3 linked regions of the Caenorhabditis elegans genome follow. The protein of the gene in region 3 purifies or fractionates together with the protein of the main gene of each other region. This does not show direct contact. Each region holds a gene or a part of one and is shown on either strand. Other genes may lie near its edges. The genes, in order: crn-1, crn-4 and nuc-1.

Region 1 (5,050 bases), on a different chromosome or scaffold from region 3:
TTACTTGAAATCTTTGAAAATCAGTATTTTAATGAAATTTGTATTTTTCAGAAAGTGCAACATGACCCCGTTCCACTTGAAATGACGACTGACATGCTCTACGTATCCCGTTTAAAAGTTGAACTTGATCAACGAATGCGTGATTCACAGTTCTTTATTGAAGCAGAGAAAGACGACGAAATTAAGCGTTATTTGGATAAATATTCGAATATTAAGAGGGAAAAGCTTAGCATTGGTACGGAAATCTAGGTGAAATTGTGTCTCAATTTCAGAAAAAACAAAAAAAAAATTTGAAAATTCAACTTTTTGGCTAAATGAGAAGAGCGGCCAATCAGCGATTTGCTCCGCCCATTTTTCAACCAATCAGATGGAATGGGCGGAGTTGGAAGATGCTGATTGGTCGGAGAGTTCGAGGAAATTAGCCAAAAAAAGATTGAATTTTTCTATTTTCTGTAGCGCTTTTTCTGAATTTAAGGCGATTTTTTAACCTTTTCAAATTCATAAAATCCATTTTAGATATGTCCCATATGCCGAATGAGCTCATTTGGCGCCGAGCTAGCTCGAAATCCAAGGAATCTTTGGCAAAACGACGAAAAGTCGCCAATGACGATTCGATGATCAAGGAGAAGTTGAAAAAATTGGAAGAAAAAGAAGCACAGAATAAGGATGATGATGATGACGATGAGAAGGCTGATAATGATGTAATAGATATTTTAATTTCAGATTTTTGACATTTTATATGGGACAGGGCATTTTTTAGCACTTTTTTTTCAGAAAAAATCGAAAAATAATTTTCAGAAAAATCGAAGTAAATAAGTAGAAGAAATGCACGGAAAATGACGAGAAAACTAAAAATCGAAATTTTTCGTTTTTTCGAGAAAAATAATCAAATTTTCAATAATTTCGGGTTATTCCTCATGAATTGCAAAAAAAAAATATTTTCTCATCAAAATTGGCATATCTTTTGATGAATCTAGAGTTTTCTCGTCCCTTTATTTCTGAAAATAAAATTTAATTTTAGTTGAAACATTTGGAAAACTGCTCAAAAAATGTTCGAAAGTTGGAAATTTCTAATTTTCAGACGATTTTTGAGTGGTTTTTCAATTGTTTCAACTAAAATAGGAGCTATTTTCAGATAAATCACTACATTTTAATGAAAATAATTGGAAAAAAATCATATCTTAATTTCAGAAAGACTCTGGCAGTGAAAAATCCGCGGCAGAAGAGGAGGAGAATCCATTATCAGATGATGACAATCAGGAGGAGGATAACGATTACATCTCGGCTTACTTTGATAATGGAGAAGGATATGGGGACGGCGGTAGCGATGATAATTTGGATGCCGATGATATTTAAAGAATCTCCGGACACTTTTTTTGTTGTTTTTGTTGTTTTTCTCTCAATTTTTGAATATCATTGTTAAATATATGAATTTATTTATTGATTTTCCCTTAAATTTAACCCTTTTATTCGTTATTAGCTTCAGATTTAACCAATTGGTTCAGAAAATCGGTTTTTTCAAGGAAAAAAGTGTCCAAATAATGATTACGCAATCGCGCTCCATGGACAACTAATTGAACGCACCGTTTTCCCGCCAAATTGAACGCAGCTCCGATATTTTTTATCCTTTCTTGGGGTTTTTTATAGTGAGAAACACAATTTTAAGCAAATATTTTATTGTTTTTAATCAATTTTAAACGAAAAATATATTAGAATTGTTAATTTATCGTTTCGCAATCTCATACTCATCTTATTTTCTCGAAATCTTGGAGAATATCGGGGGTTTTTCGTTTTTTACGTCAGGAAAGTGCGGCGAAATCCGTATAAATTCGGTGAAATTTCATGAATTTGACTGATATCGTTCGGTAAAACCTAAAAAACCCTATTTAATTGGAGAACAAAAAGGAAAATCGTGTTTTTTTTTCGAAATTCGCTGTAATTCGTTTCCTACCCCCGTTTTCCACTCAAAAATCCACAAACTTCCCAATTTCAGAATATTTCAGATATAAATTCACAAGGACTAACCCCACACCGCTATGGGAATTAAAGGACTCTCCCAAGTGATTGCTGATAATGCTCCCTCCGCGATTAAAGTCAACGAGATGAAGGCGTTCTTCGGAAGAACAGTACGGGAATTTTTTCCTTAGATTTGCAAAATTGAAGGTTCAAAAATTCGAAAAAATAATTTTTTAAAGCGAAAATCTCCAATTTCGTCTACTTTTCTGTGCGCCGCAGTCTGATTTTCATATTTTAAAATATTTTAGTCGTTTATCTCCTGCTATTTTGTTGATTAATGATTTATCGGTTCGACGCGATAAATCAGAAAAATTTGAAGATTTTCAGCTCTAAAATTGGCTCATTTTTACATAATTTTGAACATTTTGAAGAAATTTCCGGGTAAATGTCTTAAATTTCGACGAGTTTTGAGTCTTTACAAGCAAAAAAACAAAAAAAAATGTTTTTTTTTCAGGTAGCAATCGACGCATCAATGTGCCTCTACCAATTCCTCATTGCTGTTCGTCAAGATGGTTCCCAGCTTCAAAGTGAAGATGGAGAAACCACAAGTCACTTGATGGGAATGCTGAATCGTACGGTTCGAATGTTCGAGAACGGAGTGAAGCCTGTCTACGTTTTCGACGGAAAACCACCGGATATGAAGGGTGGAGAGCTTGAAAAACGTTCCGAGCGTCGTGCTGAAGCAGAAAAAGCGCTGACTGAGGCCAAGGAGAAGGGAGATGTTAAGGAAGCGGAGAAGTTCGAGAGAAGACTCGTAAAAGTCACAAAACAACAGAACGACGAGGCGAAGCGTTTGCTGGGATTAATGGGAATTCCAGTTGTCGAGGCTCCATGCGAGGCAGAAGCTCAGTGTGCTCATCTCGTGAAAGCTGGAAAAGTATTCGGAACTGTCACTGAGGATATGGACGCGCTGACCTTCGGCTCCACGGTTCTTCTCAGACATTTCCTGGCTCCAGTCGCCAAGAAAATCCCGATCAAGGAGTTCAATCTTTCTTTGGCTCTCGAAGAAATGAAGCTAAGCGTTGAGGAATTTATTGATTTGTGTATTCTTCTCGGCTGTGACTATTGTGGAACTATTCGAGGCGTCGGGCCTAAGAAGGCTGTTGAGCTGATCAGACAGCACAAGAATATTGAGACGATTCTTGAGAATATCGATCAAAATGTTCGTCGTTCGTAAAATGCCTATTTTATTATAAACGCGCTCCACGGCAAATAAATGCCCCGAACCATGGGTCTCGTTAGGTACTTGCCGGTGAAATCATAAATTCGAATTTTTCACTTAGTTTTGCCTTTTTTTTTAAATTAATTTTGGCATGAAAATCAATGGAAACAACTAAAAAAGCCGAAAAATTCAATAAAAAATTAGCAAATTTTGAACTTACGGTTTTGCCGCCAAATAGCTAACGAGGCCCATTATGCGTGCAAGCGTAATTTTTCGAGAAAAAAAAAATCGAATTTCCAATATTTTCCTGTCATTTTTCAATTTATTGGAGAAAAATTATTTTATTTTTCTCATCAAACTTTAAAAAAAGCTATATTGTTTCTCCTAAAGATTTATTATTGAAAAAATTATGAATTTGTTCGTTTTTCGATTTTTTCTCTGAAAAAAACTCGAAAAATTGAAAAAAAATAAATCGAAAGTTTTCAATGTTTTTTGTGAAAAAACTGACAAAAAAAAGCGGAAATTTTCAGTTTTGTCTAAAAAAATCGAAAAATTTCAATTTCCTACTAGAAAAAACCGAAAAATGGAAAATTTTCTTTTTTCTCTTAAAAAAAATCGAAAAATTTCACTTTCCTTCTAGAAAAAAACCGAAAAATCGGAATTTTTTAAACAACACTTTTGGCTCGAAAGCGGAGCCTTTTGAATTAGCAGTGGAGCGCGTTAACACATCGATTTCAAATTGGATTTTTCTGCGGATCTATAATATATCTAATTTCTAAAAAAAATTCCAGAAATACCCACCACCAGAGGATTGGCCATACAAGCGTGCTCGTGAGCTTTTCCTCAATCCAGAAGTGACAAAACCGGAAGAAGTTGAACTGACATGGAAGGAAGCCGATGTCGAAGGTGTCATTCAGTTCTTGTGCGGAGAGAAGAACTTCAAGTTTGTCCCCATGAACCTCATGAACTTCATCTAATTTTTCTTTCATTTCCAGTGAGGAGCGCATCCGAAACGCGTTGGCAAAACTGAAGACTAGCCGTAAATCTGGAACACAAGGACGAATTGACTCGTTCTTCGGAAACTCGACCAAGGTTACATGTGTGACAGCTGCGACAAAACGAAAGGCGGAGGAAGCTGAGAAGGCGAAGAAGGGAGCAAAGAAGGGTGGACCACCGAAGAAGAGAGCCAAGTAGCTCACACTAACTATTCAATTTCTTATTTGATTTTTGTGAAATATTGATTGAAACGAAATAAGGTTTTTATTTACCTTTATCCTTTTTTTAATGGAACACACAAAGCTAAGAAAACAATAAAAAATTTGGAAATTTTCAATTCCGTCAATTTGCCGATTTGCCCAACACCCATTTGCTGGAAGTTTTCAGGGTTTTTTATAAGACTGACCAATTTGGGAAATTTGAATTTTTCAATTCCGGGAATTTGACGATTTGCCGGAAAAAAATTTTGCGGCTTACCTCTGATGCATACTATTACGGGAACACTAAATTCTGAGAATGCGTATTGCACAACACATCTGACGCGCAAAATGTCTCGTAGCGAAAACTACAGTAATTCTTTAAATGATTACTGTAGCACTGTGTCGATTTACGGGATCTCGATTCTTGGCATGAATTAGTAAAATTATTATTTATGGATTGAATATTAAAATTTAGCGAAAAATGACGAAATAATACAAGAAACGGAGGAAAATTATAAATCGCTATCGATATTCAAAAAGAAATTATAAAACATTCCGAAAATCGAGCGCGTAAATCGACACAAACCGTACAGTAGTCTTTAAAAGAATTACTGTAGTTTTCGCTACGAGATATTTTGCGCGTCAAATATGTTGCGCTATCCGCATTCTTAGAATT
Region 2 (4,756 bases), 7.3 Mb from region 3:
TAGGATATGCTATGAGCAATATATTAGAAACACTAGTTCTCAAATAGTTTGTTAATTTAAAAAAAATCCAGAAAAAATTTCAAACTTTCAAATAAAACTGAGTCACAAGCCATTCTTACTTCACAAAGTGCAGACAGTTAGTTTTCAAAAATCAACAGATAAGCTTTTTTTGCAGGGGGTGAATGAGCTAACAAAAAATATATATCTTTGCCGTGGGCTCGCTAAATGACTTGTACAAACACAGAGCGGGTCAGCATGCAAGCAGGAGCAACAGTCGGCAGAAAAAGTTTCAAAATTGTTTTAATTTCTTATCATTCGAGAAAATCAAATAAATCGGATTATCAATAGCAACTGTTAAATAGAAAGGGACAGAAACATCTATTTTTAAAAAAGTTTTGCAAAAATAGAGAATAGATATATTAAAAAAAACCACATTTTCGTCTCATTTTAAAAGTGTAAGAAGATACTGGAATGTGGTGAAAGACAATACGGAGTTGACGACGCTTTTCTGGCAATATTTGGCACGTCTATTTATACACTTTTTTAAATCAGTTTCTGAAGAATTGATAATTAAGAGTTTATATTAATATAAAAATTTGTGATAATTCAAAAGTCAAAAAACGTAATGACATGAGAAAACCCGTGATGGGCAAATACCGTAAAAATCTGAATAAAAACTCGTTTCAGAGTACACGGAGAGCTTGGAAAAAATTCCTTATCACAAGTAACAAGTACAAGGACAAGTAATGAAGAGATGCGATTTGAAAAAAAAAACTTGGTATTAAATTGATGATGTTCACGGATTCTAGTAGTAACCGGCAATTTTGGCAAAGTGGATAGGATCCTCCTCATTTTTGTAGAGATCATGTGGTGTCTGCTGATGACTTGTTCCACACACATCCATTCCTTTGCGGCAATAGCGGCAGACTCCGTACATCTCGAGACGAAAGTCGCCTGCGCGAATTGTAGTCACGACAAGTGGCAGGACTCTTTCGAAAATCTTTCCAGCGTCCATGAAGCTGCTTCTCCATTCTTTGTTGTAGACCAGCGGTTGTCTGCGCCACTGTAAGGAAAATAAAATTATACACCAGTTTCGAAAACAGTGGTTTTGATATTTTTAACGTCAGACTAATTTTTGAAGTGGGAGCACCAAAATCGGAGAATTCGCTTTTTGGACGCAAAATGGCCAAAACTACAGGTTAATACTTTTGAGTGGAGGGAAATTATTTATTTTCACCGAAGAGCTCAAATAAGGACAAATTGACAAAGCCACAACTTGCAGAAGGAATTTTTTATTTGATTATCACTTTTTGTTAAATATTTTCGTAATTTGTTGCAAGTTAATTAGTTGATTTAAATACATTTTCGGTCTATGGGGACACGAATATGATACAGTTTTGTGTTCCCATCAACCGAGCATGAATTTAAATCAACTAACAAACGAGTAATAAATTACGAGAATATATATTGAAGCATGATAATTTGATAAAAATGAGGCTTAAATCTGGCAAAATTTGTGATTTTAGCCTAAAATAAGTATGTTTTTGAAAAAAAATTCTGCACGTCTCGTTACAAAAAGCCTGTTGTTTTAGGCCGTTTTGGGTGAAAAAATAGTGTCAAGTTTCGGTGCTCCGTCTTTAATTCACCTAGGGGTGCAAAATTTACAGAGACTACAATACTAGTTTGTTTTAGTATAAAAATCCTTTGAAAATTATTCATTTTTCTTCATCGGCTCTACACGCATTAATGTGATTTTTCCCTAAAAATTGACGCTTTTACAAATTGATCTACAATGTTCGGTTAGTTTTTCAAAAAGCCAGTGCGGGACTACTAGGTCTTTATCTAATTTTGGATTGGTCAGTGTGGGCACTGGCATAATATTAGTTGAAGATAATAAAAAGGCTGTAAGATGATCTTCAACATTGATCGAAACTTACCGAAGCACAACAGGTCAGCAGCTCGTTCACAGTAACTTTTGCGCCCATGTTAATCATTCGCTGGAGAATAGTAGCAATATTCAGACAGTCATCCATGGCATCATGAGCACGTCCGATGGTTGGCAGATCGTAGTATTCGTTCATCTTGCCGATGTTGGTCTGAAAAGATTATTTATATCATACATTTTTTTAAAAACTATTTGCAATTGAACTCACCGTCGCAGAAAGCTCTTTGGGGCCCATTCGATCCATCTCATTCGTGAAAATCTTGTACAAATTGATGTACTGACGGAAGAAAGCTGGCATTTGGATATTGGACAGTTTCATCTGATACTGAGCAATACGCCACAAATCCTGACGACTGTCACAGACGAAAGCGAACTTTCCTTCTTCCAATCCAAGCGTGATGAGCCACTGCTGGAACTGCTCGTAGACCACATCAAAGGTGTCGGCGGTGTCAATGGAACGTTGCGGGATTCCTGAAAACTTTATTGTATTATGTATATTTATAAAAATAACCAAACTATAAAAACGTACCGGTAAAATCGACACAGTTCTTTGTCAAAGTCCGATTGAGAACAGGTTTGACGTACTTGTTGAAACTAATGTCCTCACGCTGAAAATTAACTATTATTAAATATTTTTAAACGGCAAAATTTCTCACAATTTTATCATTTGGGACATCATAGGCAACGATCGCGAACTGAATGACTTCGCACGGGTAATCTTGATTAGCAGCATCGGATGTTGTCTCAAAGTCGAGAATCTGAAATTGAAATTGATATTTTAGATGCACACAATTTTGAGCTGAACCTACCAATAAAGTATCAAACGGACAGTGTTGGTAAGCCATCCTGTATTGTGTACAGAGAGCGGTGACCTGAAAAATGTAGATTATTGGCAAGAAAAGATACAGAAAGAGTATAAAGAAAAGAGAGATGCAAAATTGAATTTGGCTTAGAATCGCAATCTGGAAAATCAATAATTGCAAACGACGGTCCAAGTGATAGGTGGCCAATGCGGACAGTGTTAACGAGAGAGAACGAGACGCAGAAAGCGAACGGCAAACTTTGAATATATGTTCGGATTACTAAGGCTTAGAAACATAAAGTACTGACGACAATTCTTAAACATTTGAGCTGTTTGTGGAAAACGAGAAGAGAGAAACAAGAAAGTCAACGCAGTAGTTAGATTCAGTATCTATTTAGCACTAATATCAAAAGTTAGAAAAAAAACTTAATCGGAAATTGGAAAACGTTGTTGCGAAAGAGAGCATGCAAGATTATGAAACTAAAAATGGATGCGCAACGACGTCGCAACGCGCGGCATCGAGACACAGGCAGCAAGTGAGCGGAGGTCACACACTTTTTTGGCGGGGGTCAAATCTCATCAAAAAGGCCAAATGACTCATCAACGCTGAAACCGTCCCTCCTCACTGTGTCTCTCTTTCTCTACGTCTCCGCTCTCTCTCAGTATGCTCTCGAACGCATTGTTATTTTGATTTCTATTACGCAATCGCCTCAAGATGGGAACGCCAACTTTTTTGGGGCGGGAAAATATACAGTTGATGAGTCTAGAATTTTATTGACAAACCAGCTAGTAAAGAGTGAAAAGAAAATAAAAAGAAAATAAAAAGTAAAAAAAAAGTAAAGAAAAAGTAAGGACTGACTCTGAAAGTCTTCCAGAGTTTTGCCAAATTCTACAAGTTGAGACGGTTGGGCATGTTCCACCGATACTTTTCATAAAAATTTAATGATACAATATAGAAAAATATTTTCTTTACTTGAAAATAACTTCTAATTAACTTCAAACAACCGAGAAAGTGTTCAAAAATTTTCCGAATGTTGAAAATTGCCGGTGAAAATTGCCGAACAATTGACGGATGATTTCTGAAGATTTTCCTAATTTTTTCTACTAAAATAAATAGCCAAAAGACATAAGATTTTATTGCAAAGTCAAAATTGATAAAGTTCAAAAAATGTTGTAAATACAAAACGGTCATTGGGGTACGTAAACAAAAATCGTTCACGCTTGAAGAAAGAATAATCGGGAACATTTTCAGAAACATTTTTTAAAAAACGTGTTCAAAACAAAATTGAGATCTATCACATGGAATATTTCAAAATGGGGGTCCTAGCATTGCATTGATTTCTGCGGATTGACGGGCACGACGGATTTGCTGGTTGATTTCTGTCAACAGATTCTGAAAAGGCACAAGTTTTTTATTTAGTTTATTACAAATCTCAATTAATGCAAACTCCCACCTGTAGCTGCTCGACAGTGTTGGCCATTGCAATTTTCCCTTTATAACCATCAATATGAGCTGTACTGGCGTTCAACTTTTTTGTGATAACCATTTGCGTGTATTCCGAGATACCTGGTTGGGCGATTCGCTGAGTAAGATTGAGATCGTCAAACTGTTTTTGGTAAGTGTTGATGGCTGCCTGAAAGTTTTCAAAAATGAGAAAAATTACACAGAACGAAACAGAAAGTAGGTCATAAAGTATTCTTTAAAAAACTTCAGAAATTCCGCGTCTACTCTAAAATACTTAAGATTAACTAATTCCGTAATGAGACCTTAGGAAAAGGTAGCAATTTTCACTACGGTTAAAAATTTAAGAAATTGGAAATTTTAGTTGAACTTAAAGAATTTAAACTACGTATTATTACAATTTTTCCAGAATATTTTCTTTTCAATTTGGTTTTTTAGACATTTAATTAATAATTATTATGGTAATACATGACATTTCACTACTCAAAATGTATTAAAATTTTATTTAAACATTTGTGAACACTTACCGCAATTTCTTTTCTCAACT
Region 3 (4,706 bases):
AATAAGGCTCGAGTTTAATTGTAAATTGAAAATTAAAAAAAGCAAGCTGTACTTTTTTGCTGATTTACACAGCTTCCGACATAAAATGGAATTCTAAAATTATTATGAATCGCTAAAAAATGTTAAAATATTTTTGACTTGATGGGAACTTGTTTGTAATCTTTCAACATGGTTTTTACTGGTACAAATTTTGACGTGAGAAACATTTTTGTACTTTTAAGCTCATAAAAAATATTTACTACTGAATTTACTATTAAAAATCCAAATTTGGAGGCAACTTTCAGTCAAATTTTGTTTGCTTACAACTTTCTGGCAATATTTTGCGGTTGAAAAGCTGACATAAACACTTCCTGGCAACTACGACGATGTTGCCGGAAAGCCAAAGTATTTCTCAAAGGTAAGCGCCAAATATGTACATATTGTTAACCATTTCAGGAAACCGCATTCAATGATTTTTTTTAACGTTGTTCATGTTCAGAAAATCGACCAGATTATTTGTGAGTGGAAATATTACACTTCTACGGTGAAGGCGCTTAATTTTAAAAAAATTAAGAATAATAGTAAAACCTTATTTTTGGAATCAGGATACACATTACAACATCTTTTATATTTATTAAGAAGAAAAACTGGATAAAATGTTAAGTTTTGTAACCGTATTACCTTAAATAGGTTCACTGAGCCTCTATTGGGAAGTAAAGCAATCCACGACTGGATTATCGGCCACAGTCCCCGGCTAAACCACAAATATAGCCCAGTGGGATCACCACCAGGCAAATGATGAACGTGATTTGAAATTTGAAGTTTTGTAACAATTAATCTATTGTATTGTGTTATTAAAAAAAATGACAATGGTTTTCACATCCTCGCGGAGCAAAATGAAATTTGTTTTAGATTCTTGCAGAATTTAAATCCGGAAAAGCACATTTACTTTTGTCTATTAATAAAAATTTCTATGTAGAAAAAATTGTATTTTAAGAGATAGTTATGTCTGTAACAAAAAGGTTATCTTGCATTTATAGTTTTTACGTTGGAAAATACGTTAGTTCGTTACTTAATGTTCAATTCATAAATACTCGTTTAAAAAAACAAACAGAAACGTGATAAAATATATGAACACCGCTACGATTCCAAGTTTCAAATGGCTCAACCAGCCCTCGTTCTCTTGAATGTTTGCCCACTTTTTTCTTCTCGACCACAATTTCCGTCAAGGAAAAGTACACATGCCTACGTGTCATTCTGTGAAAACATCTGTTCGCCATTTTAGTAAACATAGCAAAAAAATTGGTTAGAAAGGTGCTAAAAGGTTAGGAATCGGAGTGTGAATTGGGAAATTGGAAAATGAGGAATCATTGGAGAGAGAGAGAGACAAGAAGAATTAGGCAGCATCTGTTCCTGTGACGTTTTGCCAGGTGAGGGAGGGTAAGAGACAATATGTACCATTATATACAATCTATTTGATATTGGATGGTCTCTTTTCCTAAATTTTCATATTATTCTCTTTAACAGTCATGCAACTTTTTGTTCATCTTTTATGAATGAAAGTTATTCCGATAATGTTTGATGTTGACTGTCAATTTAAGATTTTGCAGTAACTGATAAAATGAGATGATAAAGCACTTGATAAAAAGAGCACGTTTTCAGTTTTCTCACTCACTTCCCTTCTGAAACTTTCAAAATTTCAGCGGAAAAATGGGCTTGTCTCCTGCCGCTGTGCTGATTTTTCTCTTATTAGGAGTTTCCCAAACATATGCAGCATTCTCCTGCAAGGATCAGTCGGGAAACGATGTTGACTGGTAATATATTTTCAAAACAAAAATAATTTACTAATAAGTAGATATTTAGGTTCGCAGTGTACAAAATGCCAATCGAAAAAGATGATGGATCAGTGACAGGATTGGCAGGTGGAGTTGCATGGTACTACGTGGATGTGAATAAAAAGGGAACTTTGACTCCTTCTGCTAAAACTCTCGACGACAACGACCAAGTAAGAAAAATTTTCATTACAAAATTCAGGAAGTAGAATTTCATAAATTTTAGAAAATACTGAATAGTATATTTTTGTACAGCTGCGGAAGTGTTGCAGTAGAGTGTTACAACCTTTTCGCTGAAGTTATTTTGTCTCCAAACTTTTTCTTTCAAATTGCATTTCAATATCTTTTTACATGCAAAGTACTGTATCTAGACCTTATGATTTCGATTAATATTTGCAATGTTTGTAATAGAACTGTTTAACAGTTTTTTCACACATACAAGGTCGAGTATATATGAAATTTTTCCAGGCAATTGCATACACACTCCAACAATACTATGACAAGCAGAATGACAAGACCATCTTCCACGTGATGTACAATGATGAGGTAAGCGAAAATAGAGACTCAGACAGCTGCAGAAACATCAGAATCGTTTGATTTGGCATTGATAAATGCTCACTTGACCATGACCTGGAGCGAACAACTGATAACAGAGAGCAGAGATGGAAACCATTAGACATTTGCAAGTGTTTCTTCTTTCAGCCATGGGGATCAAAGTCGACAAGTGGAATTAAATTGGAAGAGATTCTGAGCAACAGAGTTTATAGCAACTATACTCATGAAGATGACAGTACTTCAACCGCATTCGGACATACTAAGGGAACCATTTTCTTTGATGGAACTTCTGGAGTCTGGTTGGTGCACAGTGTGCCATTGTTCCCAAATCCCACGAAATACGAGTATCCAGTCAGTGGACACGACTATGGACAGACAATGCTTTGCATGACATTTAAGTACGCTCAATTGAAGTCTATTGGAACTCAACTTTTCTTCAATCGACCAAATATATATTCTTCGAATCTTCCAACGAACATGGCTGCTGACAATGCAGATTTGGCTAAAGCAATCGCTGGACAATACCAAAAAGGACAGCCATTCCAAAGCGTTATTGAGTTGGAGACTATGGCTGGATATTCGTTTACTAATTTTGCCAAGTCGAAGGAATTCAATGCAGGTGAGTAGCAAAATTATATCGTATTGCAAGGTTTTTCTAATAACTTTTTTTGTTACAAAACTCTGCAAACTCGAAATAATTTCAATGCTTTAGCTATTTTTGATCATTGTGCATTAATTGTTTGCTAATGGGGTTATTCAAGTAATTTAGCGAAATGTATTTTAATACACTTTGTGACGTTACAATTGTATTAAAATGCATGATTTGGTGACTTGAATAATACAAAAAGTGTGTTTGAAAATACTTTTTGAATATCCGACACTACTCGAATAACCTCATAACTCTCAAACATTTTAAAAATACCGTGTTTTTGTTACAATCAACAATACATTTAGCATTACTAATTTTGAAATAATAGTGTGAATGTAGCCATACTATACAAAAAATACGGCATCATATTTACATGAATATAATTGTGAGATTTTCAAACCTACACAAATACAGATGAAATTTGTGTTAGAATTATTGCGCAATGGGGTTTAGGAAGTTCAAGTTCCACATTTTAATCAATGGTTTTCGTTTTTTACAATTTATTTTACAGATCTATACGATACTCTTGTGGCTCCAACACTGAAAACAGATTTGGTCGTTGAAACATGGAGACGTGGAAGTGAGATCCCACTTGACTGCAAACTAACCTACCACGCCAATGATGCTCTGTCAATTCACGTGAGTTTCAACACTTTCCCTTTTGAAACCTTCCGTCTTGTGGCAATTGTGTCACTCGATGAAATCAGTTTGTCAACAGAAGATTTGTAGGTTGGTAGTACAACCGCGTTCTCATACACCAAAGACCACTCGAAAATGGCTCACTCAGCTGATATGACAAAGCCGTGGGTGTGCATCGGAGATATCAACCGAATGGTGAGTAAAACAAATGGTTAAAAAACTCGAAGTGAAATTTTACAGACATCTCAATATGTACGCGGAGGAGGTACTACTTGTATCAGCAGCTCGTTCCTTTGGAAAGCCTACAGTGTAATTGCAACCCAAAATAATTGTGCATAAAATTACATCTATGTACTTTTGATTATCTACAAATAAATATGATTGATGTACTTCTTAAAAAATTAGTGTGACAGAATTCCAAAAAAAAAAAGAAGTCATAAATCTCAAATATTGCCAGAACCTCTTATATTGTAACGGAAACTTTTCTCTCATTTTTTTGTGTGTCTGGAAAACGAAATTTCTGAAAATTATAACTATCTTTTAATAACCACATTTAAAAAAAAACAGTATTACTGAAAACAAAATCGAATTAAGTGTTTCATCAAGTTTCATGTAATTATTACTTGAATTTATTTTGAGGTTTTCAAGTTGGTGAACAGTTATTGCATGTGCACTGCTCTGCAAGATATTGATTTAGCGTTGGTGAATATTTCACTTTTCTGTAGGTAAAAAATGTGTAAGACGAGGTGAAAAGGGCCAAAAAAAAACCACACGTTTTGGAGATATATACTTTATCAAACTCCAATTCAGCATTTGGTAGTTGGGTGAAAAAAAAACCCCCAAAGGTGCAAAAAATTATTGATTGTTTATTAGACGGTCACTCTGTTCATTGAACCTATGCAATTTCTTACAAACACGTATTATTCTTTTCATATAGAAACGTCGAACATTCCCTAATGGAAAATTAATGTTCTACATTTTGCAAGTAAATTTTGCAAAACTGAATTGAGATTAAAATATCTAAAATTTACAAAAGCGAATAACACGAAACG

The links.
Region 1: the proteins of nuc-1 (region 3) and crn-1 purify together in Caenorhabditis elegans (affinity purification with western blotting, with the first as the bait; one study listed by BioGRID). This does not show direct contact.
Region 2: the proteins of nuc-1 (region 3) and crn-4 purify together in Caenorhabditis elegans (affinity purification with western blotting, with the first as the bait; one study listed by BioGRID). This does not show direct contact.

What each region holds. Positions count from the first base shown.
Region 1 is NC_003279.8:3,479,994-3,485,043, forward strand, and holds crn-1 (Flap endonuclease 1), read left to right. Parts: upstream 1-2,003; 5' UTR 2,004-2,036; coding exon 2,037-2,126; intron 2,127-2,470; coding exon 2,471-3,178; intron 3,179-3,969; coding exon 3,970-4,121; intron 4,122-4,173; coding exon 4,174-4,372; 3' UTR 4,373-4,507; downstream 4,508-5,050. Other genes in the region: Y47G6A.9 (DNA-directed RNA polymerase III subunit), read left to right, coding at 52-235, 517-701, 1,192-1,356. UniProt on the Caenorhabditis elegans protein: Structure-specific nuclease with 5'-flap endonuclease and 5'-3' exonuclease activities involved in DNA replication and repair.
Region 2 is NC_003284.9:2,255,285-2,260,040, forward strand, and holds crn-4 (3'-5' exonuclease crn-4), read right to left. Parts: upstream 2,818-4,756; 5' UTR 2,791-2,817; coding exon 2,755-2,790; intron 2,704-2,754; coding exon 2,602-2,703; intron 2,554-2,601; coding exon 2,475-2,553; intron 2,417-2,474; coding exon 2,154-2,416; intron 2,097-2,153; coding exon 1,938-2,096; intron 1,064-1,937; coding exon 806-1,063; 3' UTR 564-805; downstream 1-563. Other genes in the region: AH9.3 (uncharacterized protein), read right to left, coding at 4,057-4,140, 4,202-4,381, 4,737-4,756. UniProt on the Caenorhabditis elegans protein: Possesses 3'->5' exoribonuclease activity in digestion of DNA and RNA. Cleaves nucleic acid substrates with efficiencies in the following order: single-stranded RNA (ssRNA) > double-stranded DNA (dsDNA) > single-stranded DNA (ssDNA).
Region 3 is NC_003284.9:9,538,257-9,542,962, forward strand, and holds nuc-1 (Deoxyribonuclease-2), read left to right. Parts: upstream 1-1,648; 5' UTR 1,649-1,689; coding exon 1,690-1,793; intron 1,794-1,842; coding exon 1,843-1,984; intron 1,985-2,279; coding exon 2,280-2,357; intron 2,358-2,513; coding exon 2,514-2,985; intron 2,986-3,526; coding exon 3,527-3,654; intron 3,655-3,744; coding exon 3,745-3,849; intron 3,850-3,894; coding exon 3,895-3,993; 3' UTR 3,994-4,073; downstream 4,074-4,706. UniProt on the Caenorhabditis elegans protein: Hydrolyzes DNA under acidic conditions with a preference for double-stranded DNA. Implicated in apoptosis.